2 linked regions of the Arabidopsis thaliana genome follow. The protein of the gene in region 1 interacts with the protein of each later gene in a pairwise test. Each region holds a gene or a part of one and is shown on either strand. Other genes may lie near its edges. The genes, in order: AT4G15670 and TGA3.

Region 1 (6,793 bases):
ATGAATATGATAACCTTGTAATTTGTCATGAATGAATAACGACTCTCCGGATCAATCTTGGGTCACCTTTGATCAAGAAATACAACCAAAAAAAAAAAAAAACTATTTGGTTCCTTTGAGTCTTATCGTCATGGAATGAGATCGAATTTTTAGCCATGTCAAGAATCATACAAGACTAACTTTATTCCGAAATCGAATTTATGATGAGATTTTAGTGAGAATAATAAAAAATGGCTTGATGGTACGTAAAGAAGCCACGTAATCCTCAACACAACAACCATATGAGATTATTCTGGAGATATACCGTACGATCTCGAGTGTTCTACTTTTATTATGCTGATTATATGTCAATGGGTGGGGTTTAATTAAGGTTTTGAACCTATGTCAAATGTATATCTCGTTTTAGCAGCTTCATTACAAGTAACTTTCATCATAACTAGATATAGTTTATCCTATGTATTAAAAAAGGATCACAAAGCAGACATTTTTGTAAGCATCAAGTCATCAACACATAACTTATGTCCTAATCGAATTCTGCTAGTCAATACAATTATCATCCCATGCCGGCCTTAGATATAGTAAGATCCAATGGGTCCGAACTTTCCAATTAGAAAAACCAAACTATGAAGATCATGAGATATATCTCTTTTTGATAAAGAAAATATATGGCCGTACTATAGAGACATGACATGATTCGTCCGTATCAAGTATTCTTCACAGCTAAGAGATTTAATTTTTTTTGTACGTTTTATCGAATTAGTTTTATTCGTTAGCTGCAAGAGGCAAAGAGGCAAGAAGGTGTGAATCGATCTTAGCCTCAGATTCTTTAGGATACTCCCACTATATAAGTTTACATTATTTAAAATGTGTTCCTTATTTCGTGCTATAAAGTTGATTCTATAAAAAAAAGGTGCTACATCCAACGCATAATGTCATAGCTTTACGTACCTTAAAGCTGTATATATAGAGGACCCTTATTGACAATTATCTACATCAAACTGATCAACCACATAAGCTCAAAGTCATTTTTCATCTTCACCCAAAGATATTACAGTCTCCTTGATTGTCTCTAATTTTCCAATCTTTCATTTCTGATTTTGCATTGTAATCGAACATACCCACTAATATCCTTTGCAAGCCGCTTTTCAAACAACCTATTACATTATAACACCAATGGAGAAGATACAAAAGATGATCTCCGAGAAGTCGGTAGTAATATTTAGCAATAACTCTTGTTGCATGTCACACACAATCAAGACTCTCTTCTTAGACCTTGGCGTGAACCCGACAATCTATGAGCTAGACGAGATCAACAGAGGAAAAGAGATAGAGTATGCATTGGCTCAGCTTGGCTGCAGCCCGACTGTGCCAGTGGTGTTCATAGGAGGGCAGCTTGTTGGTGGAGCCAATCAAGTCATGAGTCTCCATCTCAACCGTTCTCTCATTCCAATGCTTAAACGCTTTGGGGCTTTATGGCTTTGATAAAATATAAAAGAATAGTTACTTATTGATCGTAGCTTGGTAATAATGATGTCATGAAACCAATCAAGGATGACAAAAAAAAAAAAAATGTATGCATGTAAGTTTTGAAAGGATAGATTGTGAGGATACCTATTTTGTAACGTGTGGGTATATTTTATAGTAAACAACCTAGTGTTGTATTTCTACTTGTCCATGCTTTTGGTTTTTAATATATATATACATGCTATTAAGAAATGGTACACATATTGTAGAGAAAAAGAAAGACTTTAATTTGACTTCTTTTCTCTCTTTATCAAAAAGCGAAAAAGCTTACTTTTGTTTCTGTTTTTTTTTTCTTATTCGGGGCGTCTCTCACGATGTCAAAGCTGCAAGAGAGAATATAAAAAAAAAAAACATGTATAATCTCAAAGTATAACTCATTGATCAAAGTCCATTCTCGTTTTAAACAAAGTGTAAGTCTAATCAGTATATTGATTGGTAAAAGACTTCTCTAACCCATATCTTTATTTTTTTTCACTTAAAAATAGAAGAACTCTATTTTAGAGTTAAATTTGAGTGCATTTTTTTCCAACCCTATTCTATTTCAAATTTTAAAATAGAGATCTAGTATAAATTTACAATATATATTTATAAATATATATATATATATATATTTCATTTAGAAATAGATTATAATTGGAGATATTTTGCTCTACAATAAAGTTTAGCGGAAAATATAAAAGTGGGAGTGGAGATGGTGTAAAATATCCTCCCTTTCTCTCTTTAGATTTTATTTTCGCAGTAAATCATAAATTTAAACCAAACGGTGAATCAGTCTACGTTAATTTGTATTACGATCCATAAGTAGTATAACACATTGATTAAAAAGAATTCACGACAATAACCTCTTTTCTGGAACTTGCACTCATACATATATATGTCTTGCCAGCAAGCTCTATGTGACAGATTGTATATTTGTCCGACTCATTTCCTGGACCGTTATTATTTGTTTTTACAGCCATTGCTTTTATGAAAACATAAAATAGATCAAGTAGGAGTGGTATTCGGCCCACGACTAAATCAAGAATGTTTTGAAAACCACTAAATAAAATAAATGGAAAAATTAAAGGAGAGAATAGGTGTTTGCATTATTGTATATAATGCACATTGTGTGGTGCCTTTTGTTTTCTTAGTTAAATAATGTGCATAATTTTGTTTATAAATAGATAAATTTTGGTAATTTTAAGAGTCAGTTTGGTGAATGACAAGATTTGAGATAAGTTTTAGATAAATGGCAATTGAAAAAATAAATTAAGTAAATGACAATAAAACAGTATATAGATGAAAGTTTCTTGTAAAAATAACATATTACATAAAACTAACTTATAGAGAACAAATTTGTAGCTATTAAATGAAATAAAAAGTCGGAGAAGTTTGTCGAATACTTTAAGGTAATCAAATGAACCTTACATTGATATTTTCTTTACTGTCTCTCCAATATTGTTTGTCATTGAGTGCAAGTACTACTACCATTTGAATTATATCCCACAAATCAATCAAATAAAAACATTAACATCATCTACAAGTAAAGTTTTCAATTTGTTTTCTTCATTTGTCATACTTGTAGGGGAGAAATTTAATTCGAAAAACTTTTTTTTTTCTTTCTTCTAAAGAAAAAAATGAAGAACTACGATGATAATTAGAAACTTCGAGGAAAGCAACTCGACGCAAAAAGAGGTTTGTTGTGGCATGGAAAATTTATGGCTGCTATTCTGGCTTTCTAAACTCGTAAATTTATTTGATGTTCTGCATTTTAAACCTTCTAAATAGTAAACAATATCTAACAATTTAACCAAATTGTTTTTTTTTTCAAATCAAATCATGCATACATTACAAATATAAAGATCTGGAATTAGATGCGATCATATGATCTGTGTTTTGTTCATAAGACATGTACGTGCTGTGAATATGATGACCTTGTATTTTTCATATATGATTAATAACGACTCTCCGCAACAATGTTGGGCCACCTTTTGATCCAGAAAAAAAAAAAAAAGTGGTTCCAGTTGAGCCTTATCATCATGGAATGAAATCGAGCTAGCGTTGTCAAGAATCATGCAAAGCGTACCTTTATTCCCAAAACGATTCATGACCAAAGTTTTTTGATAAAAACATATGTTTTGATGGCAAGTCAAGAGGCCACGTAATCCTCAAACACCAAAAAAAAGATAAAAGATTATTCTGGAATTATACAATCTCGAGTCTTCAAGAAGTAGAGCTTGTAATTTCTATCATGTTCATGTGTATACTGTATGTAGACTACTTTTGGCTCATAAAACGTTCATTAATTGACTTTTATTTCCACATGGTGTAAGGTTTTGTTTATCTTTTTAAAAACAAATCTTATAAATTATTATGTTTTGTCAATGAGTGTAGGCTTACTTACTATTAAACTTTCTAATTTAAAAAATTATGAAAACTATCTACCAGTTATGAAGCATCAACACTATTAAATTCCCTGAAAAGTGATAAAGTAATATATCTTTTGACAATGAACATATATGGCCGTACCATAGAGACATGGACATAAATTCGTCCGTATCAAATATTCTTCACAACTTAGAGATTTTGTTTTTTGTACGTTTTACCGAATTAGTTTTATTCTTTAGCTGCAAGAGGCAAAGAGTCAAGAAGGTGTGAACCGATCATAGCCGCAAATAAAATGTGCTCTTTATTTTATGCTATAAGTTTATTCTCTTAATAAGAGTTACATCGAACCCATAATATCATATCCTTACGTAGAATGTTATATATAGTACCCTTGTAGACACTTCTCTTCATCAAACTGATCAAACACATAAAAGTCAAAGTCACTTCTCATCTTCACCCAAAGATATCACAATCTCTTTAACGGTTCTCTAGTACCCCATTTTCATCCCTAATCTCGCATCTTGTAATCAAAACATAACCTATTTCATCCTCCTCAAGTCACTTTTCAAACACACTTTCAAATTAACAAAAATGGAGAAGCTACAGAAGATGACCTCGGAGAAGTCGTTAGTGATATTTAGCAAAAACTCATGCTGCATGTCGCACACAATCAAGACTCTCTTCTTAGACCTTGGCGTAAATCCGACGATTTATGAGCTAGATGAGATCAACAGAGGAAAAGAGATAGAGCAAGCATTGGCTCAGCTTGGCTGCAGCCCGACCGTGCCAGTGGTGTTCATAGGAGGGCAGCTTGTCGGTGGAGCCAATCAAGTCATGAGTCTCCATCTCAACCGTTCTCTCATTCCAATGCTTAAACGCGTTGGGGCGTTATGGCTTTGACAAAATATAAAGAAATAGTTACTTATTGATTGTAGATTGGTAATAATAATGTATTGAAACCAATCATATACATATGAATGTTTTGTGTCTATCTAAGTTTTGAAAGGATAGATTATGAGGCAGGGTACTGATTTCGTAACGTTCTTGGTATACTTAGTGTTGTATTTCTATTTTCAGTTTTTATGAATACAAACATGCATTTAAGAAAAGTGTATGCCATGGGTATTGGAAATTTACACATGTTAAAAATGAAGGACCAGAAAGTGTGAGTTACAAAAGATGTCACATTTGATGAAAGAAACTCTAACTCTTAATCGGAATATATCCGTTTATGGATGTTACTATATAGATTTGGGCGTCTCTAAACAAGAATTTTGTTACTATATAGTTGTGTTAGGTTTAGGAATTTCCATGTCACCAAATCGGCTAGTATGAAGTATTTTTGATCAAAAATATCATGCATGCATTTAAAAATATCGTATGTGCGGATATAAATATTCTAATTAAAATACGTACTCATTACTAACTTTAAGCCCCAATGCGCTTAATGCATAACATGTTCCAAACCATTTCTTCTTAATAAAATATATTATAAAAACAAATAATTATATCCTAATTAGAATGATATTGCCACACTCTCTCCCTCAAACTACTAAGGACCGCATACCCTTGGCTGTTCTTCCAGCAAAACAATCTTATACCATAGTCACCAAGAAACTCGCCGCTTAACCTTTGAATAAAGGGAAGTAGACTTCGACACAAGCTATCAACACTATTAATTATGATGTCACATTGAGTGCTCACAACAAAAATGCAAGACGTTCATCCATTTCTCTATGTTACGGATAATATTCTGACACTTATATACATTAAAAATATATATATATATATATATACATATAACCTTAGTGAAGCATATAACCTTAGTGAAACTCATAAATTAATTAATACAAATTGTAGGGAAAAAATAAGCTCACTTACTTTGACGAAATTTATAAAGTGTTCAAAGCACCAACAAGTTTTTAGGAGAAAAGTGAGATTTACCCAAAATTGCTGGACGTATATAATTAAAGTTACAGGATGGTGTGAAATAGTTCTGGGATTGGATGCGATGTGATTCGATAATATGTGTTTTTACATAAGACATGTATGGAATACGATTACTTTGTAATTTGTAGTATATGAATAAACGACTCTCCGGATCACAGTTGGGCCACATTCCATCGACAAATCGAGTTTTAACATAAACAAAAATATTGTTTCGTCCCATTGAGCCTTATCCTCATGGCATGAGATCGAATCTTTGCGACGTCAAGAATCAGACATAAATTATTCCCATATTGATTTATGATGAACAATTTGTGAGAATAAAGGAAGGTTTTTACTTGTAAGTGAAGAGGCCACGTAAACCGCACAATCAAAAAACGAAAAAGATGAAGAATAAGATTATTCTGGAGATATACCATACGATCTCGAGTCTTCGCCAAGGAAGGAGATGCAATTCTTTCTTTTTTTTTAGGAGATGCAATTTTTTTTATCGTGAGTAATATTGTATATTTCAATGGCAGCGATTTTAAGATTTTAAGTAGATCTTTTTTTTTGATAAGAAGGTTTCATTATACTATATGATAATTATCATGAAATTTACAACCCGATGAATATTGGTAAAATTACATATACGTGTAATATTTGGTAACCAAAAAGAAAATTCACATGTAAAACATCACAGTAAATAATTATAAGTAACTATGTGATAGGAGACAAAAATGTATTTGTGTTGAAAATATATCTCTTTTGATTGAAACTGGAAATAGAAGGCCAAGACTAATATGACATGATTCGTACGTATAAGATATTCCTCACATCTAAGAGATTTTGTTTTCTGTACGTTTTACCTAATTAGTTGATAGTTTTATTCTTTAGCTGCAAGTGGTAAAGAGTCAAGAACGTGTGAGCTCCTCAAATTGTACTCCCACTATCTTAGTTTTCATTATTTTTTAAT
Region 2 (8,855 bases), on another chromosome or scaffold:
GCAAATATCTAAAATAATGCTTGATCTATTGATTGAGTGATTACTTTTTTCACGTAGTCTGTTTCTGATTATGCATTGAAGAGTTCTGACCACACATTATTTGCTTTTTCACGTAGTCTGTTTCTGGTAGTTTTGCTATCCGATCAACTAAATGTGTATAACTTATGTTACGCCATCGCATTCATGAAAGAAAATACATTTAGATAGTTTATAACTGGTAACCTATAGTTCTGCCGACAAAAAAAGGAAATATAGTTACATGGTCCACTTTATATAAATAGTAATCTTACCTTTAAAAGAAAACAATGAACGATTTAAAGTCTTCGATTCTAAAATCTGTTTTGCTGAATTCATCGCCAACTACGCAACAAAGGACGATGTAACCTCTTTTCGCTTCGATAATAGAGTAACCCAAACTGTTTTTCATTGTATCTCTGACGATAGAAACACTTGGAACTAAAGCAACAATAACATTAGATTTTTTTTTTAATAATTATTTTAGATTCCCACTATTTGTGTACATATAATAGCTGTCAAAACAATGTACGTATAATAAGTGGGAAACAGAGAAAATAAATTCAACTAAAATGGACCCACAAATTTGATCTATATATTCATCCCAATCCCTCACTCTTAAATTTCCAAACCACACTCACCTTTCACCAACTTCTTTTTACATTTTACCACCTATTGTCTCTATTTGCATCTCTTTTCATAATTACCATCATATTTTTCTCCTGTAAACTTTTTGATAACATGTCACTAGACGGATCGGGACTAGGAGGGATGGCTATAGCGGAGGTTTACACGATGAGGAAGTTTCATAGAGAGAACATGAAGAGTATAACGGCAACCGCGGCCACAACCGCTGGTGGAATCGAAGAGAACGGTGGAGGATCTGGTCGATGGTTCTTTGGAAAGCTGAGCACCAAGAAAAACTCTGCTAAAGTTTGTGATCTTATGATTACAGAATAAGCTATAATGGCGCGTCCAAAATTAATCAAATAATTATAATGAATAAAAACGTTAGAATTTTCTTTTGCCCTTTTTGTTTGCTTTATGTTTAATATGTAGTGTTTATCGTTTGAATTTATTTTATGATTTTTTTTTTTCTTTGGGTTTTAAGCAAGTATTTAGATTGGATGTTTTATAAAGCTATAAGAGTTTCTAAATCCCTGCTACATATGTAACGATTATATAGTCATGAACTCATGATGAGTTATTTTTAAGCATAATAAGTTTAATTAGGACCAAACACACATAAATAAGGAATTTAAGGGCTGGAGTTACAATATATGCCAATTTATTCTCAGACCAGCATCTCTCCTTCCCGTGGCAAATCCAGAGGGTCACGCAACTATCTGAATTAAGTATAGATAAGTATAGTATCTAATCTATCTATATGGGTGACATCAGAATTTGATGCAAATTGGAATAGCCAAATGTGATGGACAAATTAGATTATTTAGAAATACATTTTTTAAATAACTAAGAGTATCTGGCCCTAAACTCATACATCTTTTCAGACGAGTATCATAATTGTTTGTTAAATGTAAATTATTGAATCTAGTACCAGGTTTTTAAATCAATGAACGGCCGTTTAATAGTTTACAAGAAGAATGTTCGGCTAATCTACTAGATTTATATAGTAAAATAGATTTTTATAAAAACTAAAAAGCAAGTAAATGGTAAAACTAGTACCAAATTAAATATATAACGCCGTTAATATATTTCCTAATTAACTAATCAAAATGGCCAAAACATTATAGTATATGTGGCGACCAATATGCGACCTCCTGTTCAAAAAATCAAACGTACTAGTGGTGTACAAAATAATATTTTGAAATCTTCATTATGAAACGTGAAATCGTCAGGATTTTATAGATTTTGTTTTCCTCTAATAAATTTTTCTAAGAGCCTAATTATTGTCAAATATTTTGTAATGTTGGCGTAATTTTAATTATTTTTAATAATTGAAAATATATTTTGTAGATTCAAACAATTTAGGATATAGTTGAATGAAGTTGACAAGTTGATGCATGCAAAGAAGTAAGAAGAATGACATTCTTGTATGCGAAAATGATTATTTTCAATTAGTGACTGATATCTTTTGCAAGTCTAAAATAAATATAATATATTTTATTAACAATTCGTGAAAAGTCTTTTTATTTGATGGCAAAATACTACATGGTTGTTCTTTTTTTTTGTTGCAACCATGTAATGATTAATGGTGATATTGTTGGTTGGTTGGTAGTCGAATGTTATATGGTTATTATTTTTTTGGTTGCAACCATGTAGTGATTGATAGTGATACTGTTGGTTTGCTACATGGTTACTCCTTCTTTGGTTCCAACCATGTAGTGGTGGTTGATGGTGATATTGTTTGTTGGTAGTCGAATGCTACATGGTTGCTCCCTCTTTGGTTGCAACCATGTAGTGGTTGATGGTGATATTGTTCAGTCGATCATAAAATATATGATGCATGAAGAATATAAATTATTGAATTGTTTTTCCTTGCTAAAAAGTTAATAAAAAACAATTTATCCTAAATACTCTTATTTTTTTGTAATTATGTTGTTAAAGGGTCTAAATTTTTATATATCCTTTTATCTTATATAAATATATATATATATATATATATATATATTATTTTATTGTTTATATATATGTAAGTAAATGATTGTGTATAAACAAAATTAATACTGAAAAAGACTAATTTTTAAAATTTGTACCAAAATTCCAGTTCTATTGAGCCGGTTTTGGGTGTATATATAATAATATATTATAATATATAATAATATATTATAATATATCGTGTATTAAAATTTAAAGGTTTATTACGAAATTTTAGACTTAAGATTGAATTCTATCATCTAGATTATTAAAGTTAAATAACTTATTATGATCTATTATTTTTATCATTGTAGACACTCTTTTAAGTGGTAAAGTTTAGGTCTAAAATCTATACATGTTATATAACAAAATAAAGAAAACACCAAAATTATTAGGGTTAACGAAAATAATATGTGACGTTACAGAAAAGAAACTTGCGCATTTTTAAAAAAAAAAAGTTGTACAAGGCGAGAAGCCTTAAAAAGCGGCACAGAGACTTCTGTAGATTTTTTCTCACGTGCACTTGCCATGTGTTGAATATTCGACAAATTTTATGGGCTTTACTCTAAGCCCAACTTTTCCTCTTTAGGCCTTTCTGCGCTGTTGCGTCAAAAAGACAAAAACTTAATAGATTTAAGAAAATCAAAATGATTCATTTTAGTTTCGGTATTTATCCTTTTGCATGTCATTGATCAATACGTTTTGAATCATATTTATAAAGATTGAAAACTATAGTATATGAAATCTTTATTAAAGCCAAACCAAAAGCCCCACTTATTTTACGTATTTGTCTCTGTCGAAACGCAGATTTTATCAGACAAGTGGCACCAAACTAACTAAAGAATCAATATTGTATTAGGCAAAAGAAGAAAAAGATAACAAAATTAATCATTTTCTTAGAGTTGGGTAGGTCACTAGAGGCCCAATTATTACTCACTAAGCTAAGGAGGAGTACTTAAGTTAAAAGATGCCACTGCATAGCACTGAGACCCTCCAAATAAAGCGAATAAAAATTAATAAATTGATTAAAAGTATTAATCTTCCACTCTTGTCCCACAAAATGCGACCTAATTTCTTGGAAAAGTTTATTCAATTTCTGAATAACAAATAATTCACAGTTATTCAAATATTTATACAAATAAATTATCAGCTATATTTAAAATCGTTACTAAAAAATATATTTAACCAATCGGTAGTAATCTCGTGGTACAAATATCAATTATCCATTTTCAGATCAAATCATTACTATAACTATTTTAATTTAAAAACTATATATATATATATATATTATATATCAACTTTTTATAATGTGAATCATAAGTCGACTATTAAGTTTTGATATATGATATTGTATGTTTTTTTCTAACAAAATCATAAACAAATCACATCTTATATATATGAGATTCAGATTCTCTATGTTAAAAAATAAAAATTACCGGAATATTCCCCTCAAGCATCTGACGTGTCGGCCGACGATGAAGAATCCAGGTCATCAAAAGGTGTAGTTTAGAAACAGAGGCGCACGATAAGGTCAACTTTTGGAATAGAGGAAAAGACTCAACCTTTTTTATCATCTCTCTCGATTTGTTTTTCTCCCGGTGGTGATGCTTTTGTCGTTTCATCGTTCGTTTACTTCAACTTGCTTATTATTCTACGCTCATGGACTAATCAAAGCCATGAGGAAAAAAAAAAAAGCAACAACACAAAATATATGTATAAAAAAATAAATATCTCTGCTTTTTTTTTTCAATGATGGGTACGCTTCACCTCTAAGTTTTGACCAAAGTTTTTCTTCATTTCTCTCTTCTCTCTTGTGGTCACCGTTTGATCGGAATATTCCTTTTAGAATGCCAAGATTCATTCTTCATCTCTCGAGCTCCTCATGAATTTCTTCTCTGCTTATCAATGGAGGTTGGTTTTTGTTTCTCATGTTATCTTTTCTTGCTTTGTGAAGTCCTTAAATTTTCCAATTTTGGTTTTTAGTTGTTGCAACTTTCTAGTTTCATGGGTATTACTCTATTTGGCTATGTTTCTTCAAAAGGCTCTGTTTTGGAGAGCTGGGTTTTCTAAAGTTTCAACCTTTATTGCTAAAACTGAAACTATAACTACTTGTTTATTGTGTGTGTTAGTAAGCAATGCAATTTTAGAGATATGGACTGGATCTATATATCTATTGAAAGCTGAGCTAGAGAATCTGTTTCTTGAATTCAATAAGCTTGAGTCTGTAAATTGTTGATTTACAGATGATGAGCTCTTCTTCTTCTACTACTCAAGTTGTATCATTCAGAGACATGGGGATGTATGAACCATTTCAACAGTTATCTGGTTGGGAGAGTCCTTTCAAATCAGATATCAACAATATTACTAGTAATCAGAATAACAATCAGAGTTCTTCAACAACACTTGAGGTTGATGCTAGACCAGAAGCAGATGATAACAATAGAGTGAGTTATTGTTTATTCCTGGATCATGCTTTAGAATGATTTATAAGTGTTGTTTGTTTGGTGATTGATGGTTAATTATGTTGCAGGTGAATTATACTTCTGTGTATAATAACTCTCTTGAAGCAGAACCGTCGAGTAATAATGATCAGGACGAAGACCGGATCAATGATAAGGTAAGGCTTTAGCATTTTAAGGCTACTTATACCTTTTGCTTCGAAGACTTCATAAACTCCTCCTTCTCCATTTTAATCTTTAGAGGAAGAGACACGGCGTGATGACATGAATTGTTGTTCCTTCTCTATGAACAGATGAAACGGCGTTTGGCTCAGAACCGAGAAGCTGCTCGCAAAAGTCGTTTGAGAAAGAAGGTAACCTTGGTGGGATTTTTTCTTGTGTTAATGATAAAAAGGAAAGCTTATGCAAAGTTGTGTCTGTGCTTGTAGGCCCATGTTCAACAGTTAGAAGAAAGCCGGTTGAAGTTGTCACAGCTCGAGCAGGAACTTGTAAGAGCTAGGCAGCAGGTTAGCTCAAGCTTGTTTATTTGTTGTGTGTTCATCAAACTTTATCTGATTCATTCTGACTCAGTGATTCTTCTGGTTTGTATTAGGGATTATGCGTACGCAATTCTTCAGATACTAGTTATCTAGGACCAGCTGGGAATATGAACTCAGGTTGGTGTTTATATCACTAAATAAGCATATGTTAGCATTGCTTTATCTCTTAATCCTCAGTAGATAAAGAAGTAATTTTCCCAATAATAACCATTTTCAGGTATTGCTGCATTTGAGATGGAATACACACACTGGCTAGAAGAGCAAAACAGGAGAGTTAGTGAGATTCGAACAGCGCTCCAAGCTCATATAGGTGACATTGAGCTCAAAATGTTGGTAGATAGTTGCTTGAACCACTACGCAAATCTCTTCCGCATGAAAGCTGATGCTGCAAAGGCTGATGTGTTCTTCTTGATGTCGGGAATGTGGCGAACTTCAACTGAACGCTTCTTCCAATGGATTGGAGGTTTCCGCCCATCCGAGCTTTTAAATGTAAACTTCTTTTTTACTTTTACACGTTTCTCTTTCTACTCTTGAGAAAAAATGCTCAACCTTTTTTGTTGTCTAGGTTGTGATGCCATACGTTGAGCCCTTAACCGATCAGCAACTGTTGGAGGTGCGTAACCTGCAACAGTCGTCTCAGCAAGCAGAGGAGGCTCTCTCTCAAGGCTTAGATAAACTTCAGCAGGGTTTGGTCGAAAGCATAGCAATTCAGATAAAAGTTGTTGAGTCTGTGAATCACGGGGCTCCAATGGCTTCAGCCATGGAGAATCTTCAAGCATTGGAGAGTTTTGTGAACCAGGTAACGCTAAGTGTATTTGCTTTGTGCTTTTGCAGTCTCCATGAATCCAAAGTTTATTTTCATTTTTGATTAGAAACTTTGTGAGCATGGATTTCACAAACAAAATCTCTGACAATATTGGAACAGGCGGATCATCTGAGACAACAGACCCTGCAGCAAATGAGTAAGATATTGACGACAAGACAGGCTGCTCGAGGGTTGCTCGCTCTAGGAGAATACTTCCACAGGCTGCGTGCTCTTAGTTCTCTCTGGGCAGCTCGTCCACGAGAACACACTTGACAAGTTAGGAGGCAAACAAAACAAAGAGAAAGAAGCACAAGGCAGATGATGTTAGCTATAGGGACTTGCTTTATCTCTCAGAAAGTGTTGGCTGATATTTTCTCCATTAGAGAGCATCATCTTCCTCATTGATGATTTTGTTTACTTGAAAGGAATAAGAGATGTGTAAATTTGGGTGGAAAACATGTAATGTCTTTGATGCATTAGGCTCTTTATTTGTAAAATATATAGGGTTTGTTGTCACTCATCTCCTCGTATATGAAAATTTGAGCCCACAATCAAATTTTTTGTCTATATTGTTATTCCAACAGTTCTTAGCTTATATTTGTTGTTGGTATAAATTGGTCAATAGACAAACAATAAATTCAAATAGATTCATAGAGAGTTTGATCATTCCCTTCATTCAAATTGTGCCTAAAATGAATATCCTACGGGTCTCAGCCAAAAAAGCCCACACCGAGGAAAGATAAAGACAAGAGTTAAAGGTAACACATGTTTCTTCCCTTTTGTGATACAAATGGGGTAAAAAGGGTTAGTTCTCTTTCTTTCTTTATCTCTCCTGTAAAATTCAAATCTTCTTCACTAGCCATCCTGGAAAAAAGAAGTAAAAAGACATAAGAATAGACCAAGAAATCAACTTCCAAATGTGAAGAACACAAGACTCATATGGAAAAGGCAGCAGAGTACTTCATGTAAACAAGAAAGTATCCATGACCCGGTTTACTACTACTTCCTTGTTACAAAATACAAGCTAGGAGGATGAAATATTACAGTCTCGTGCTTCTTAAAGAGAAAGGATTATTTACCTCTGGCATGGAACTGCTTGGGCCACCAAGTGATAAGGCATTGTGGCTATTACTTGAGCCCATAGAGTGTCCATAGAAGTCGGTACTTCTGCAAGCAAGCATGATCAGTTGGTAAGTATGGTATAAATAGTTTGGGAAAAGAAATCACTAGTAACAGAATACCTAGCATCTGAATGTTCCATCTTTGAAGCTACATCAGAGGTCTCTCCTGCGTTGTTGCTCAAAGGGCTTGATCCAAAGCTTAGTTGCGAGCATTCTTCTGTAGAGATTGGCAAATTATCTGAAGTTACAACAGCAGGTTTATCGTCTTCATGAGATGCTTCTTGATCATGACTATTTGTATCTCTTGTCTGCAAAAGAAGATAAAACCATACGACAAAGCCAAAGTTCCAGTAAAACAAAAATGACAACTAGCTTAAACCAGAAGTCATTTGATTCCTGTAAAACATCAAGAGTCAGGAACTACATGAGGACAGCTAGTGATACAGAGTTTGAGGACAGTAACAACTCCTCAGGTATGACAGATTTCCTAATTCATAAGATGAAATTAATGTTAAAAGATAGAGAGCCAGAAGCTTCAGAAATCTGTCATCTTACATTTATCAACTGCCTGACTTGGCCATGAAGACTTGCGACGTCATCATCATCTAGGTTAGAGTGCAATTTAGAACTGCTGCGCGCCACTCTGCAACCAAAACACAGCAATGAAAGAGTCGCAACACTGAGCATTGTTCAACTCTGTGACAGTCTGATCAATTTACCTTTGACGACGACGCTTTTTAGATCTTTTTGGTTCATCTTGTTGCTCCTGTTTCCTCTTAAGGTTTGCCCTTGGAGCTTCATCCATTAGTGGGCAATTAAAATCCGAAAGAAGATGGCGTGGTGTTGAGGAGGGCCGAAGCATATCTTTATCATTATCCTGAGCACCAACCACCATGTACATCACTTCCAGGGAAACCCATACATACCCACCAACACCAATTTTTGGGCCGTTGCTCAGCTTGCACAACGCCACCTGTTCGCGGTTAATCACATCTACCTTGACAATCACCACGTCATGAAACCCCGTGAATTGAGTATTCTCTTCTAATGGGCCACGGTAGATGTGCTGCACAACAATTTATATATGTTAGCTAAGAAAGTAAGACCTAATCAAATACTACACTGCTTAAATTATTCTTACTTCTCCAATACGCCACAACTCAGGGAAAGTAATTAAAGCTGCACCAACAGGCTGAATGTGAAGGTGGGCTAAAGCCTTGTCCAAAGTGTCGAAACTAAGGACAGACTTTATCTTGTGCTTTCTCTTATGAGCACTTGGAGGATAACGACGGCATTTATACTGACGAAACTGTGGGAT

The links.
Region 2: the proteins of AT4G15670 (region 1) and TGA3 interact in binary tests that used the Arabidopsis thaliana proteins (3 or more experiments, as listed by UniProt).

The regions. Positions count from the first base shown.
Region 1 is NC_003075.7:8,924,755-8,931,547, forward strand, and holds AT4G15670 (Thioredoxin superfamily protein), read left to right. Parts: upstream 1-4,276; 5' UTR 4,277-4,482; coding exon 4,483-4,791; 3' UTR 4,792-5,059; downstream 5,060-6,793. Other genes in the region: AT4G15660 (Thioredoxin superfamily protein), read left to right, coding at 1,174-1,482. UniProt on the Arabidopsis thaliana protein: May only reduce GSH-thiol disulfides, but not protein disulfides.
Region 2 is NC_003070.9:7,785,133-7,793,987, forward strand, and holds TGA3 (transcription factor TGA3), read left to right. Parts: upstream 1-4,000; 5' UTR 4,001-4,518; coding exon 4,519-4,524; intron 4,525-4,856; coding exon 4,857-5,057; intron 5,058-5,143; coding exon 5,144-5,230; intron 5,231-5,365; coding exon 5,366-5,425; intron 5,426-5,500; coding exon 5,501-5,578; intron 5,579-5,664; coding exon 5,665-5,728; intron 5,729-5,828; coding exon 5,829-6,100; intron 6,101-6,176; coding exon 6,177-6,410; intron 6,411-6,536; coding exon 6,537-6,689; 3' UTR 6,690-7,007; downstream 7,008-8,855. Other genes in the region: AT1G22065 (uncharacterized protein), read left to right, coding at 757-975; AT1G22080 (Cysteine proteinases superfamily protein), read right to left, coding at 7,272-7,280, 7,496-7,583, 7,658-7,845, 8,093-8,180, 8,257-8,603, 8,679-8,855.